2 linked regions of the Mytilus edulis genome follow. The protein of the gene in region 1 purifies or fractionates together with the protein of each later gene. This does not show direct contact. Links are inferred from orthologs where the notes say so. Each region holds a gene or a part of one and is shown on either strand. Other genes may lie near its edges.

What was found. Proteins that work in one complex are often made in the same cells at the same time.
Region 2: the proteins of histone-lysine N-methyltransferase 2C-like (region 1) and PAX-interacting protein 1-like purify together in Homo sapiens (affinity purification with mass spectrometry; 4 studies listed by BioGRID and IntAct, with this or other methods). This does not show direct contact. The link is inferred for Mytilus edulis from reciprocal best matches to the Homo sapiens genes KMT2C and PAXIP1.

What each region holds. Positions count from the first base shown.
Region 1 is NC_092345.1:42,272,410-42,279,713, reverse strand, and holds the start of histone-lysine N-methyltransferase 2C-like, read left to right. Parts: upstream 1-4,289; 5' UTR 4,290-4,673; intron 4,674-7,304. UniProt on the Homo sapiens protein: Histone methyltransferase that catalyzes methyl group transfer from S-adenosyl-L-methionine to the epsilon-amino group of 'Lys-4' of histone H3 (H3K4).
Region 2 is NC_092350.1:66,545,769-66,553,233, forward strand, and holds the start of PAX-interacting protein 1-like, read left to right. Parts: upstream 1-4,461; 5' UTR 4,462-4,550; coding exon 4,551-4,655; intron 4,656-7,465. Other genes in the region: DDB1- and CUL4-associated factor 7, read right to left, coding at 165-329.

The DNA of each region.
Region 1 (7,304 bases):
ACATGCAAATGCTTTATATTTATTTATATTTAATTATATTTATTTGTATTTAATTATATTTTCATCACTTGGCGTCTATCATCATCATTGGCTTGGCAGTGTGCCTTATTATCATCAGCAGAACTTAGGGATACTTAACAGGGTTGTCTTTTTTAAAGCTTTATTGTCCAAACTTTAAAGGTGCTGGATAGCTCCATATTTGTATGAAGATGCCAAATGGTCTTTTTATTTGACTATTTACCCCATTTTCGTCGAGCCTGCAACTTTTGTTGCAGAAAGCTCGACATAGGGATAGTGATCCGGCGGCGGCGGCGTTAGCTAACTTCTTAAAAGCTTTATATTTTAGAAGGTGGAAGACCTGGATGCTTCATACTTTGTATATAGATGCCTCATGTTACGAAGTTTCCGTCAGTCACATGTCCAATGTCCTTGACCTCATTTTCATGGTTCAGTGACCACTTGAAAAAAAAGGTCAATTTTTTTGTAATGTTGAATTCTCTCTTATTATAAGTAATAGGATAACTATATTTGATATGTGCGTACCTTGCAAGGTCCTCATGTCTGTCAGACAGTTTTCACTTGACCTTGACCTCATTTCATGGATCAGTGAACAAGGTTAAGTCCATATCTCAGATACTATAAGCAATAGGGCTAGTATATTCAGTGTATGGAAGGACTGTAAGGTGTACATGTCCAACTGGCAGGTGTCATCTGACCTTGACCTCATTTTCATGGTTCAGTGGTTATAGTTAAATTTTTGTGTTTTGGTCTGTTTTTCTCATACTATATGCAATAGGTCTACTATATTTGTTGTATGGAACGATTGTAAGGTGTACATGTCTAGCGGGCAGATGTCATGTGACCTTGACCTTATTTTCATGGTTCAGTGGTCAAAGTTAAGTTTTTGAGTTTTGGTCTTTTTATCTAATACTATATGCCATAGGTCAACTATATTTGGTGTATGGAAATATTTTATAACCTTTATGTCAGTCGCACAGGTTTTATTTGACCGTGACCTCATTTTCACGGTTCATTGCACAGTGTTAAGTTTTTGTGTTTTGGTCTATTTTTCTTAAACTATAAGTAATAGGTCAACTATATATGTTGTATAGAAGCATTGTTAGCTGTACATGTCTGCCTGGCATGGTTCATCTGACCTTGACCTCATTTTCAAGGTTCATTGGTCTATGTTTAGTTATCTTGGTTAATGTTAAGTTTATGTGACAGTTGTTATAAAGCTTAGCTTTATACTAAGGACTATCAACATAATATCAATGATTAGTATAGAAGGCGAGACATTTCAGCGTGTGCACTCTTGTTATGTGTAATATGGACAACTATATTTGGTACAAATGTATATGGATTCATTGCTTGGTATACATATAAAAAAGAAGTGGTGTGATTCCTAATGAGACAACTCTTCACAAGAGATCAAATGACACAGACATTTACAACTAAAGAGTCTTTTATACAATAACATCAGTGTGTTCGCCTCAAGTTGGAACTCTGGCATGTTAAAACCTAAACGACTCAAAAATTGGTATTTGCTGCTGCTCTTCTTGTGGATTGCACAAAGCAGGGTTAATATTCATGTACCTGTCCTGAATATGCATTTAATTGCCACAGGACTTTTAACAGCTGTCCATCATTACCATCGCCTAGCCTTACAAAAGTCATGATTCAGTGATTAATGTTCAGTTTTGGGATTTATGTATTTGTTTCTCTGAAACTAAGTAATTCATTATGTTTATTCAATGAATAGAATAATTGTAAGGTTTACACGTCTGTCTAACAAGGTTCATCTGACCTTGACCTTATTTTCATGGATATTTTAGTCCATAGTTTTTTTTTTTGTTGAGCCTGCGACTTTTGTCACAGAAAGCTCGACATAGGGATAGTGATCCGGTGGCGGGAGCGGTGTTAGCTAACTTCTTAAAAGCTTTATATTTTTGTCGAGCCTTCGACTTTAGTCGAAAAAGCGAGACTAAGCGATCCTACATTCCGTCGTCGTCGGCGTCGTCGTCGGCGGCGTCCACAAATATTCACTCTGTGGTTAAAGTTTTTGAAATTTTAATAACTTTCTTAAACTATACTGAATTTCTACCAAACTTGGACAGAAGCTTGTTTATGATCATAAGAAAGTATCCAGAAGTAAATTTTGTAAAAATAAAATTCCATTTTTTCCGTATTTTACTTATAAATGGACTTAGTTTTTCTGCGAGGAAACATTACATTCACTCTGTGGTTAAAGTTTTTAAAATTTTAATAACTTTCATAAACTATCCTTGATTTATACCAAACTTGGACAGAAGCTTGTTTATGATCAAAAGATAGTATCAAGAAGAAAATTTTGTAAAAATAAATTTCCGCTTTTCCGTATTTTACTTATAAATGGACTTATTTTTTTGGCCAGAAACAAAACATTCACTCTGTGGTTTAAGTTTTTAAAATTTTTATAATGTTCTTAAACTATCCTGGATTTCTACCAAACTTAGACATAAGCTTGTTTCTGATCATAAGATATTATTCAGAAGTAAATTTTGTGAAAAAAAAAATCACTTTTTCCGTATTTCACTTATAAATGGACTTAGTTTTTCTTCCAGTTAACATTGCATACAGTCTGCAGTTAAAGTTTATAAAACATTTATTAGATTCATAAACTATCCTGGATTTTTTACCAAACTTGGAAGCTTCTTTCAATCAAACGACAGTATCGAGAGGGAAATTTTTATTGATGTTTTTCCTCATTTTTGTTGAGTCTGCAATTAACAGCAAAAGTAGGCGAGACATTGGGTTCCGTGGAACCCTTACGAATTTTAGAAGGTTGAAGACCTGGATGCTTCATACTTTGTTACATAGATGCCTCATGTTACGAAGTTTCTGTCAGTCACATGTCCAATGTCCTTGACTTCATTTTTCATGGTTCAGTGACTACTTGAAAAAAAAGTTAAGATTTTTTGTAATGTTAAATTCTCTCTTATTGTTAGTAATAGGATAACTATATTTGGTATGTGCCTACTTTGCAAGGTCCTCATGCCCGTCAGACAGTTTTCACTTGACCTCGACCTCATTTCATGGATCAGTGAACAAGGTTAAGTTTTGGTGGTCAAGTCCATTTCTTAGATATTATAAGCAATATATAGGTCTTGTATATTCGGTATATGGAAGGACTATATAAGGTTTACATGTCCAACTAGCAGGTGTCATCTGACCTTGACCTCATTTTCATGGTTCAGTGGTTATAGTTAAGTTTTTGTGTTTTGGTCTGTTTTACTTTAAACTGAGTAAGTTATTTATTTTAATTGTTGGCAATAGATAGGTGCGGCCTAAGAATTGCAACATTTGTGTACCTAGTCAAATAGTTCTAGAGTTTTCATTACACGCTGTTGTACATGTTAAATGTAGCTACAGGTATAAATGTTTTTTAATTTAATTATTGGCAATAGATAATTGGACATGTTGCCACATCGGTGTTCTTGAGGTTAGCTGTATCAGAGACATATAATAAAAGTCAGACAAATATTGGTCAGACGAAGAGATATATTATTTTGACTACAGAGCAGAAATGTCCGGAAGTCACGATCAAAACAGTATTAGAAAAACATTAAATCAATTGAGTCTGGTGAAGAGGAACCTTGAGGGATCCTGTACTGGAAATCAACTATTAGTAACTATAATAGTAATATAATACATTGTATTATATATGTCTCTGGTGAAATTAACATTTTTTCTAATGTTTGTGTAATTATACTTAAATAAAACATTCCGGTCGTCTTTTATTCCATAAGGCAGCAACCAATTTGATTTTCAGGGGGGGGGAATGGGTTTTTTTTCTGTACAAACTTTTTTTTTTCTGTGCAAACTTTTTTTTTTCGCCTATGGCGAAAAACAATCTATTTTTTTCGCGACAAGTCTAAAACAATTTTATTCTTTCAATTTTAGCATTACATATAGTGGCAGCTGAGGGTGAAACAAACAATTTTTTTTTCTCAGAATCAAAAACAAATTATTTTTTTCTCCAAAAACTGGAAACAAACTTTTTTTCCAAAAAAAAACCATACCCCCCCCCCCCCCCCCCAGAAAATCAAATGGTTGCTGCCTAATCAAATGATATTATAATTTTAATTAAAAACATAAAATTGATTAGATTTGAGACAAATTAAAAAAACGTTAAATCCCACCTAGGACTAAAGTAGGATTATGCCAAACAAAGCCCCAAAATCTCACTCCAATACAAATATTTTTTTATCCAATAGTTTTTTATAATTTATTATTTTTACAGGAAAAGTACATTTTAAAGGGAAGTAATACTGTTACCGAAGCTCTCCGTTATATTTTCGGCCATATTTTCATACGCTAATATCGCCCTTTCACATTTTGACCTTTTCGATAAAGATGTAAATGTGTGAAGTTTCATCCAGAAACGAATTCTCTCACGTTTATTTTGTTTAGAACTATCTATTTTTATGGTTAAAGTATTAAAAACAAACAAAAAATCGAAACTTTCTAAAACCGGAAGTAGGAACTATTTTTGTTTAACTATGAAAATGGATGCCAAAATGTATCAACAAAAGCCGTGAAAAGAAGCGATTGGATGTGCGGGTTTCTATCTTCAACGTAAATGACGCATTTACACTGAAGAAACATAATTTTGCAGGCACAATAACTTGTAGGTAATGCACCAAATTTTACATAAATAAAAGACTGGGCAAATCAATAAGTCCAGTACCGAACTGGTGCGAAGACGTTATTTAAAACTTAAAAATCCAATTTATTTCAGTTCTTGAAAAAATATGACTTGTTTGGCCACAGAAAGGCAGATCTCAGATGAAAGCTGTGCACCCCTTTTTAAGAAAAAACACTATATATATATATATTTATATATACAGGGTTCACATAATGACATTCATAATGCCATTAATGGTTTTTTATACACATACTGACGGTGTGAGGGGCAAGTTTGTTTTCCCTGGGATACCAACTATTGCACGAGGCCAAGCCAAGAGCAATATTTGGTATGCGAACGGACAACAAACTTGCTATTACCTGCACAACCAGTCATTAGGTGTTTTATTATACTGAACAACAGTAATTAAGTGTTTTTATATACCAAATTAACTAATTTTCTAAAAGTGTACATACATCATCTGATAGAAAAGAAAAAAATGTCGCATACCTTGACATGCACAAGATGAACTATATGTTGGTTTTTTTTTTATAGTTCTTCTTTTATTGGTAAATATTTCATTAATTGCAATCAAGACTAGAAATACTTGTGTTTAATTTTCCGTGCATGTGATAAATTTAAGCTAATTTAAAGTACACCAAACGCAAATCCACTTTTAGTATTACTCAATGCGACAACAGGCCTCGACAATATCGATTGTCCGGTACCAGAAGTAAAAAAGGTCGGACAAGTTAAAGCTATACCAAGCTTGCCCGATGGGACAAGTAGAATCATTCTGCAGAAAATAAATTTTAATCCAAATTTGATGAACAAAGTATAATTATTAACAAAAAAACAAGAAAAGAAGATTTGTTTGACATCTTTCCTTTTTAAACTGAAACTAACTTTTTATTTTTCAAGACCCCTCAGACTTGCAATCGATAATTTAAAACTGGTTCTTTGTTTTTTACCTGTTAAAAGTACTTGACACACTTTTCTCGGAAACCAGTCTTGACATCCCATTCAACCATGTGCTTTTTAGATAAGGTAACTTTAAAAGACAGTTCGTCACCAGCTCGGAAATGATTCGGCTCCAAGTTTAATAGACAGTTGGGCACTGTAGGAGACATATTTCATAGACATGATTAATAGACAGTTTGGCAAGGCAGTAGACATTTCTGGACTTAGACAAATCAGAACCTCTTTTCCTACCTTATTTTGTTGCTTTATAATAACTAATACCAATGTCCATACCATATTTTTTAAATAAAAATGAGGAAATTTATTGTTTACCATAAAAATCATCAAATCATGTTTGATTTTTATGTAGAAAAAATAATACTTACAATGCAGTGACCCATAGTTGTTAATTTCTGTGTCATTTGGTCTTTTGTCTCATTGACAATCATACCTCAAATTCTTTTTATTGATTGCATTTGAATAAACTTTTTTCAACTTTTAAAGAAATAGGATAAAAATCAAATGAGTGTACATTTAGAGGCCAATCAGATGGTGCCTCATGTGCAAAGTATGATGAGACTTTAGCATTGATAAAAACTGAAACCTAAGTCCTGTGACACAACTAAATTCAGTTGTTCATGGCTCATGTCTTTTAAAAGTATTTCAAAGGATATAAATCAAATTCTGTTCAATTTTTTTTTTATTCATTTTGTTCCTTGAATCAACTTGAAATGCAAAAAAGGTTATTATAAAGATTTTTTTTGGACAAGTTACAATTTCATTCGGACAAGTAAGTTTTGGTTTGTACTTGTCCTACTGGACAAGTTGGAAAAAAAAGTTTTTGTAGAGGCCTGGACAACCGAACCCATATTAAGAACTATAAAAAATGCACGCGAAGATTTTCTCTCTTTTATAATTGCTTCTTGTAAGTGAAATTACAATCGACACAAACAGATTATACCGTTAACAATACTAGAGTTTGACTTTGCCAAGCAAAATAGTCAATGACATCATTATTGTCCAATGAAAAATAAGCATGAAAAGTACAGGAAAGATGATTTATATGAAACTATTAACTGGGTAATAGTCTTTGAAACTATTGACTTGCAAATAGTCTGTGGAATGAAATAGCACAACTATTTCATTATTTTTTATTTAGAAAAAAATATACTGAGGTATAATAATAGATTATATTTGAAGCTGGATGTTGAACTTACAAATGTAAAAGTTAATTATCAAAAGTTTTGGTCTATACAAACCTGCCAACTGTCACTATTTGCGAGGGATTTCCCCCATGGAGTCTCCCAAATTGAAATTTTGAATGAGCAATTTTGTGCACAATTTTTAACAAAACAATTAATTTTACAATGACATGAGGCTTACATTAGTATGAAGAAGCCAAAAAACAACATTAAAATGTATCTAAAGGCCCCCTTGAAGGTTTTTTAGGACTATGACGGCCATCTTGCACGCAAAACCCATTTTGGCATTTTGAAAAGTTGGCAGGTATTTCTACATCATATTTCTGTCATAATAGTAAGAAAGGTGCTTCCATTGAACAACTTTTTCCTTCTTAATATTTGCAAGATAGTAAACTAAAGCAAATTTTAATTTAAACACATAATAGATAATAAACATTAAAAAAAAAATGTGCACATACTACAAACTTATAAATGGC
Region 2 (7,465 bases), on another chromosome or scaffold:
TTTCTTTGAAACAAAGAAAATAAACAAAATTAAACTGCTCTCTTAGTCAAATACATTTTGCTAAACATTTTGAATCCTAAGTAAAAACATTAGACATCTATATTGTCTATACATTTGTTAAAAAAAAAGTACACAATATTTTTCTTCTTTTTAAATTCACTTACTTTGTTGTTATATTCCTCCACAAAACTACCAAGAGCTAAGCGAAATCTTTTATCAGGTCTTATGCTCCAGTTCATACTATATACTGTCCATGGTGCATCATACTTATAAATCTCTTTCCTCTTTCCCGGGGGTGGAGCAGGAGGAGCTCCTGGCAAGGCACACATTTTTATTGCTGAATAGAGAATTAGAAAATTAATTATACCGTCAGACTTCCATAAATGTACATGTACATGTACATTGTATGTGTAGTCATGGTAGTGGCACAATTATACAATATATACACAGAAAAAAAAAAGAAAACCCATTGTCATTTTATGTCATGAAAGTATCCTTTTCTTCACCATTCTTTTATCCAATTGGTTGGTCAGGGACCTCCATAACCTGTTTTTAAGGAGGTAGACCTTGGATCAGGGAGATAACTCTTTAAATCAGTTATGCGTTTGTAAAATTCAGGTTTCGCCAATGAATTTGAAGCATTTACCTGAAACAGATTGGAAATAATCTATGTATCCAAGAAGCTTAAACATATTTATGAAAATGGCTGACACAAACGTACTGATGATTTTAAGAGTTATCTCCCTTAACCTAGGTCTACCTCCTTAAGATGGCACACAACATTTTTTTATCCCACCTTGTCATTAGTTATTTACCATTTGATTGATTTAACATTATCACATCATACATGTCGTATGACCCCCTATTGTCACTATTTGCTGGGGATTTCCCCCATTGAGGCTCCCAAATGGAAATGTTGGAAGAGCAATTTTGTCCACAATCTTAAACAAAACAATTTTTAACAATTACTTTTATAATGGCTATGGGCTTTAAAAATCAAAGAGAATCATTATTATGAACAGTTTTAAAATATTCCAAATCAAGCCATTAACTTTTAAAATCTTCCCTGTACATTGTATTTTCATGAATTTCGAGAATTTATAAGGGGATGAACAGTAAAAAAATCAATAAAAAAAAAGTAAAAAAAAAAGGGAATTTTCATTGTACTTATGAACTCAAAATCGTTATTTTTTTTGTATTAACCTTTATAATTCTTGCATCTACTTCCTTTTTTCGTTGCATGAAACTTTGAGTAAAATATTTATCAGTCTAGTATAATATCATGAATATAGGATGGAATGCAATACCAATTTCATTTTAAATAATTCAACGATATGAAAAAACATTACCTGATGATAGGGTTTCTTTGCAGGGGTGTGGAAATATTTATTGTGAGCACTTGTCCCTGGGCAAGTAAAACTAAAAATTTTACTTGTCCGGAAAACAATTTATTTGCCCTGATGATCTTAATAAATATTGAAGTATTTCTTGTTACCTAATATATGCTTCTTACTTAGCATGCTTAGCACTATTGTGCATCACAAACAAATGAAATCCATTTGTTTATATGTGTAAACAAGAATGTGTCCTCAGTACACGAATGCCCCACTCGCACTATCATTTTCTATGTTCAGTGGACCTTGAAATTGGGGTAAAATCTCTAATTTGGCATTAAAATTAGAAAGATCATATCATAGGGAACATGTGTACTAAGTTTGAAGTCGATTGGACTTCAACTTCATCAAAAACTACCTCGACCAAAAACTTTAACCTGAAGCAGGATAGACGGACGGACGAACGGACAGACGGACGGATGAACAGACGGACACACGCACAGACCAGAAAACATAATGCCCCTCTACTATCGTAGGTGGGGCATAAAAATTAGGAAAGTAGAAAATGGGTTAACAGCAAGGGGACAGACACCTAACAGCAAACCAACTAATGAAATGACATGTAAAGGACAATTTTGCAGCAGTTTGGGAATAAAAATTGTAGCCAGTAGGTACACAATATACTAAATTTGAGGACAGTGATTGAAGAAATGTAAACTAAATAATAGATCAACTATTGATTTTGTGGTGTTTCTCTCAACTGACACGCTTGTTTTTTTCTTGATTATTTATTATTGTCTTGATGTACAATTAAAGCGTCCCTTCTATTTACCAGTTTGACTACAAATAATGTTGACCTTTCATCTATAAATAAGACAAAAACTGAATTTATTTTCCGAATTTCCATAGATAGCCAGGGGCAATCTGATATCCACGAAGTCTGAAATTCTCGCTTCCTTTTTTTTTCCTCCGTTTGCATTTAAGTTTTTCTACTCGACTCATGATTCTATTTGTCTTGCTTGCCCAGCTTTTTATTAAGTATTTGTCAATCTGAATCTCGATACAAAATTTAAAGAAATATCACTTCTGGTAAATGATGGATCAAACTTAATCGACGATCCCGGGTCAATGGACAAAGCCAATGCAATGTTATGCGACTCGGGTTCGCATACTTATTTTTACTTATTTTTACTTATTTTGGTAATCGATCTATTTCCGGTATCATGTAATATTTATCGTCATGAACATTGATGTTTTTACTTGCTGATTATTGGTTTCTTTTACATAAATTAAACATCTTTATACGTTTTGAAATTAATTCTATGTCTTTTTTTTGTTATTTGACTTTTGTCTTTTTTTACTTGTCCACGGGCAACCAAGACAAAAATAATTACTTGTCCAGTTGTTCAAATGTACGAGTCGGGCGAGTCAGGCATAGCGTTTCCACACCCCTGCTTTGTTTACATTGCATATGACGTCATTACTGAAATAAACGTCACAACTAAAATCCCTTACAACATTGTACAAATGAACAAAAATCAAACGTTACAGTATTTCCGTTTTGAAATAAAATATGTTTGAAAAAAAAAAAAAAAAATCATTCAGACTTCGTCTCCCATACCTGCCAACTTTTGAAAATGGCCATGGGGGTTTTTGTGCGCGGCACCATTTTTGAGGGTAGAATTTTTCGCGGCATTTTTTCGTGTGATGATTTGGCTCCTAAAAGTGTCTGACATACTTCTTTTTTTTTTGGGGGGGGGGGGGGGGGGATAGTTGAAGATGCTATTATAACCTATCTTTTTTTAAATTGTTTGATTGTTGTATTCTTTTTGTTGAGATAAACACCAGTAAGATGACTTTATGTTTGTCTGATACATTGTCAAGAAATAAAAAAAAAAGTAATAATTTTAATAATTTAATAACAAAAAAAACAACAATATATGAGGGTCTGGAAATGGGGGGTGGGGGGGGGGAGTGTCTGTTGTTCTGTAAACATTTAGTTTTCACCCCTTTTTTCTCTAATCTTCAAAAAATTAACCTCTTTCTTTTCTAATCTTCAAAAAAATTTGACCACGTATTTCTCCAATTTTCATTTTTTTTTGCCCGTTATTCCCTTATCTTCATTTTTTAAGGGCATTATATTCTTTAATCATTTAACCCCATCCAAACCCTCATATATTATATAGATCAATATCACAAGCAGTACTAGAATGTTTGAAGACATCATTAAGGCCACCGTAGTCAACTTTAAAGTCTCTGTTGCAAACTTTACAAAAGGCATGTGACAATCCTAACGTTGATTTAGACAACCAGCCCCTGTACTTGACATCATTCTCCCATTTCTCTTAGTATTTGCACGAAGCAACACGCTTTTTTTTCTTAGGCGGTGACAGAACTATTTTGCAAGTGATAACTCGCCCATCATGATTCCAATTTTTATAAATTTAACACCCAAGCTAAAAAAAACAACTCAAAATTTCGATTCTTTGATTGTTTACTATGCCGACATTAATCAACTGGTGAATGTGTGATCACTTAATTTTGAACAATGATAGTTACCACGAGTACATTGAAAATTCCTGACTGTAAAATATAACTTTTTTTATTATTGTAACATTTTGATGTCACCATAGCCAGTGCCAATTAATTAAAGTAAAGGTTAATTTGTAAAAATCACATGCATGTTTTAACAAAGTCTTTTCAAATGTAAACAATGAAACATTCGTAAAAACCAACGTTATTTGATGCAACATAGATATATAATTACCGATGAACTGTTAATCGATGATATATGTAGAACAAAATCAAATTAGAATGTAAAGAAATGATTCATTTTGCCTGATTTATGACATATTTTGATGTTTAAAACACTAGACAGGAAATTTCTTGGTCAATAAAAATAGGATTACGATTATCGTAAATTCCGTTTTGAAGTGTTGATGAATAAATAAATGAAATTTCTTCTGAATTAATTTGATGAATGAACAAACATTGTTTAAAGATTAAATGAATATCTTTTGATAATAAATTTTGATTAAAAATTATTTAATTTACGACAATAATCGTAAATCGATTTTCGATCGACGTTCATGAAATGCTTGTAAATGTAACAATAAATGATCATAGTCATAAGCGTTTAAAAGATATTTGTATGTTTTATTTTGTGCGAGCAAAAACATTCAGCGGGAAATGCCCCAAATAAATTAATGAACGAAAATGACAGAATTAGAAGGATCAGAATCCATGGACAAGCCCGTAAACGTACCTGAGGCTCTATTCAAGGACGTCAAATACTATGTCGTTGGCGATATTGCAAAAGAGGTCCAAAATTATTCAATATTTACTAAAATTATCGCTTTCGGGTCGATCCGGCCCCACGTCGATCCGGCCCAAGTCGATCCGTCCCACGTCGATCCGGCCCCACGTCGATCCGGCCCATATGTAAAGTCGATCCGGCCCCAATAAAAAAAATATTTCTAAGGAATAAAAATAAATATATATTAATTGTAATTCATAAATGTTTATTATTATTATTATAATGTTAAAGGTGTACGGTAAACAAATTAAAAAAGGCCTTTGAAAAATATTTTCCTTAGATGAGTATAAAACAACTAGGTTGATTATGTCTTTATTACAAGTTTTCAAGATTATTGGCTATAATTATATTAAAACATATATAAAAGAATTTAGACATCAACATTAATCAGCAGTAATTAGCATTTTCTTATAATTGTGATCCTAACAAGTTTCATCTTGTGTAACATGTAATAACAAATAGTTACATACATGAACGGTACAAGCCGATCCCCAAGCTGATACATATTAACTTTGTTTTTCTTAAGTTCATAAATTTTTTCAAATTAGGAAATGTTGTTTGATTTGCCGAATCGTTTCTATAAAAGAGTGCTGATATTATATTACGGAACATTAATAAATCAGCATTGGATTGAATTAAGTGATTACGAGTGGCATTACCTTAGTTCACAATCATCAGACAACTGTTGAATAAACAAACCAATTATAGACTAATGATTCGATTAAATATTAAAGTCATAATGATGCGTTAAATTTTATAGGTCCATTGGACGGAAAATATTTATTTAGCTATTCTGTGTGTGAACTGAATAAAAAAAAATCGCCATGAAATTCAAAGTAAAAGTTATCATGGAAAATAACTTCATAATTTAAAAATGTAGAAACTGCGATACAAACGGACACAATAACACTCATTTTCGTATCGATTTAAAATAGTTCTTTAACTGGTACTCCAATACTTCACTGACCTGTTGTCATCCATCATCGATCGGACACATTTTTCAAATTCCATCTATACTGTTAAAATTTGTGACAAATTCCTCCAAAAACAATATAGTTAATTCATATTTTATCATGGGGCCGGACCGACTTGGGGACGGATCGACGTGGGCCGGATCGACTTGGGCCGGATCGACTTTGGGCCGGATTGACTTGGGGCCGGATCGGTTTGGGGCCGGAACGACCGGATACCAAATTATCTAGTACCACAGGGGCTTGTTTAGTGGGTCAGACGAGGTTTTACTGTCAATGGCGATCGCTATCCTATATAAAATTGGTCAGACGAGGTAACCTCGTCTGACCCACTAAACAAGCCCCTGTGCTAGTACTGTGATGTCTGATGAATTTCTTCTACTTTAGTCACACCATCTTCCTCCACCAATAAGGCTAAAAATATATGTTTGTTTACAGTAAGAAGTTCAACCATTTGTTTAGCACCAACCCTAAATCATCCTGTTGTAAAGTAAAAGATTAAGTTGAACTCATGTCATGAATTTCTATTTAGTTAAGTTAGAGTTCTCAAAATAATGGCTAATACGAATGGCCAATTAACACCATAAATACCAGAATAACACTTGAAATTTTAATTTTAGCACATATGGGTGAATAAGAGGGGCATAAAGGGAGGGTATCTGCATGGAAGAATGCAGATACCCTCCCTTTATGCCCCAGATTATCGGAATTCCAATGGGGACTAACTGTGCACCACTTATTGCGGACCTGTTTTTGTATTGTTATGAGTTACAATTTATGACAAAAATAAGCAAAGACCCATCGAAATAACATCTGATAAATAATGACCACTGCCCTTTTCTCGATCTTGATATCTATATCACTAATGGAAAGCTGAATACTAAAATTTATGATAAAAGGGATGATTTTTCATTTCCTATTGTTAATTATCCGTTTTTAGATGGTGACGTTCCCTTGTCACCATCTTACGGTGTTTATATATCTCAACTTGTACGATTCGCTCGTGTATGTAACAATGTTTTAGATTTTAACGAGAGAAATTTATGTATTACTGAAAAATTATTACACCAGGGTTTTCGATATCACAAACTAGTCAAAACATTTACTAAATTTTATCATCGGTATAAAGACATCATTCGTAAATATAGCTCAACATGCAGACTTCTAATACGTTCAGGTATTTCACATCCAATTTTTTATGGTAATATTCTTTATAAAGCACAAAGGTGTCAGTATTCACCTCAGAAACTTACAAAACCTTTGAATAGACTTATTAAGAAGGGATATAATTACGATACTGTTGTCAAGTCATTAAAGATTGCATATTTTGGCGTTAATATTGAGTCACTGATAAGGTCTTTGCATCGGAACTAAACACATTATTTTTTTAAAAACAGTTGTTGGCATGACACGGGTTATGTTCTTCTCATATATGTTATGATGGTATGATACTAAACCCCTAACGGGAAGGATTGTGCCTGATGTTCATATGATGAAATCATAATCTTTCAGTCAGTTTAATTGAAGTCTGGAGCTGGCATGTCAGTTAACTGCTAGTAGTCTGTTGTTATTTATGTATTTTTGTCATTTTGTTTATTTTCTTTGGTTACATCTTCTGACATCAGACTCGGATTTCTCTTGAACTGAATTTTAATGTGCGTATTGTTATGCGTTTACTTTACCACATTGGTTAGAGGTATAGGGGGAGGGTTGAGATCTCACAAACATGTTTAACCCCGCCGCATTTTTGCACCTGTCCCAAGTCAGGAGCCTCTGGCCTTTGTTAGTCTTGTATTATTTTAATTTTAGTTTCTTGTGTACAATTTGGAAATTAGTATGGCGTT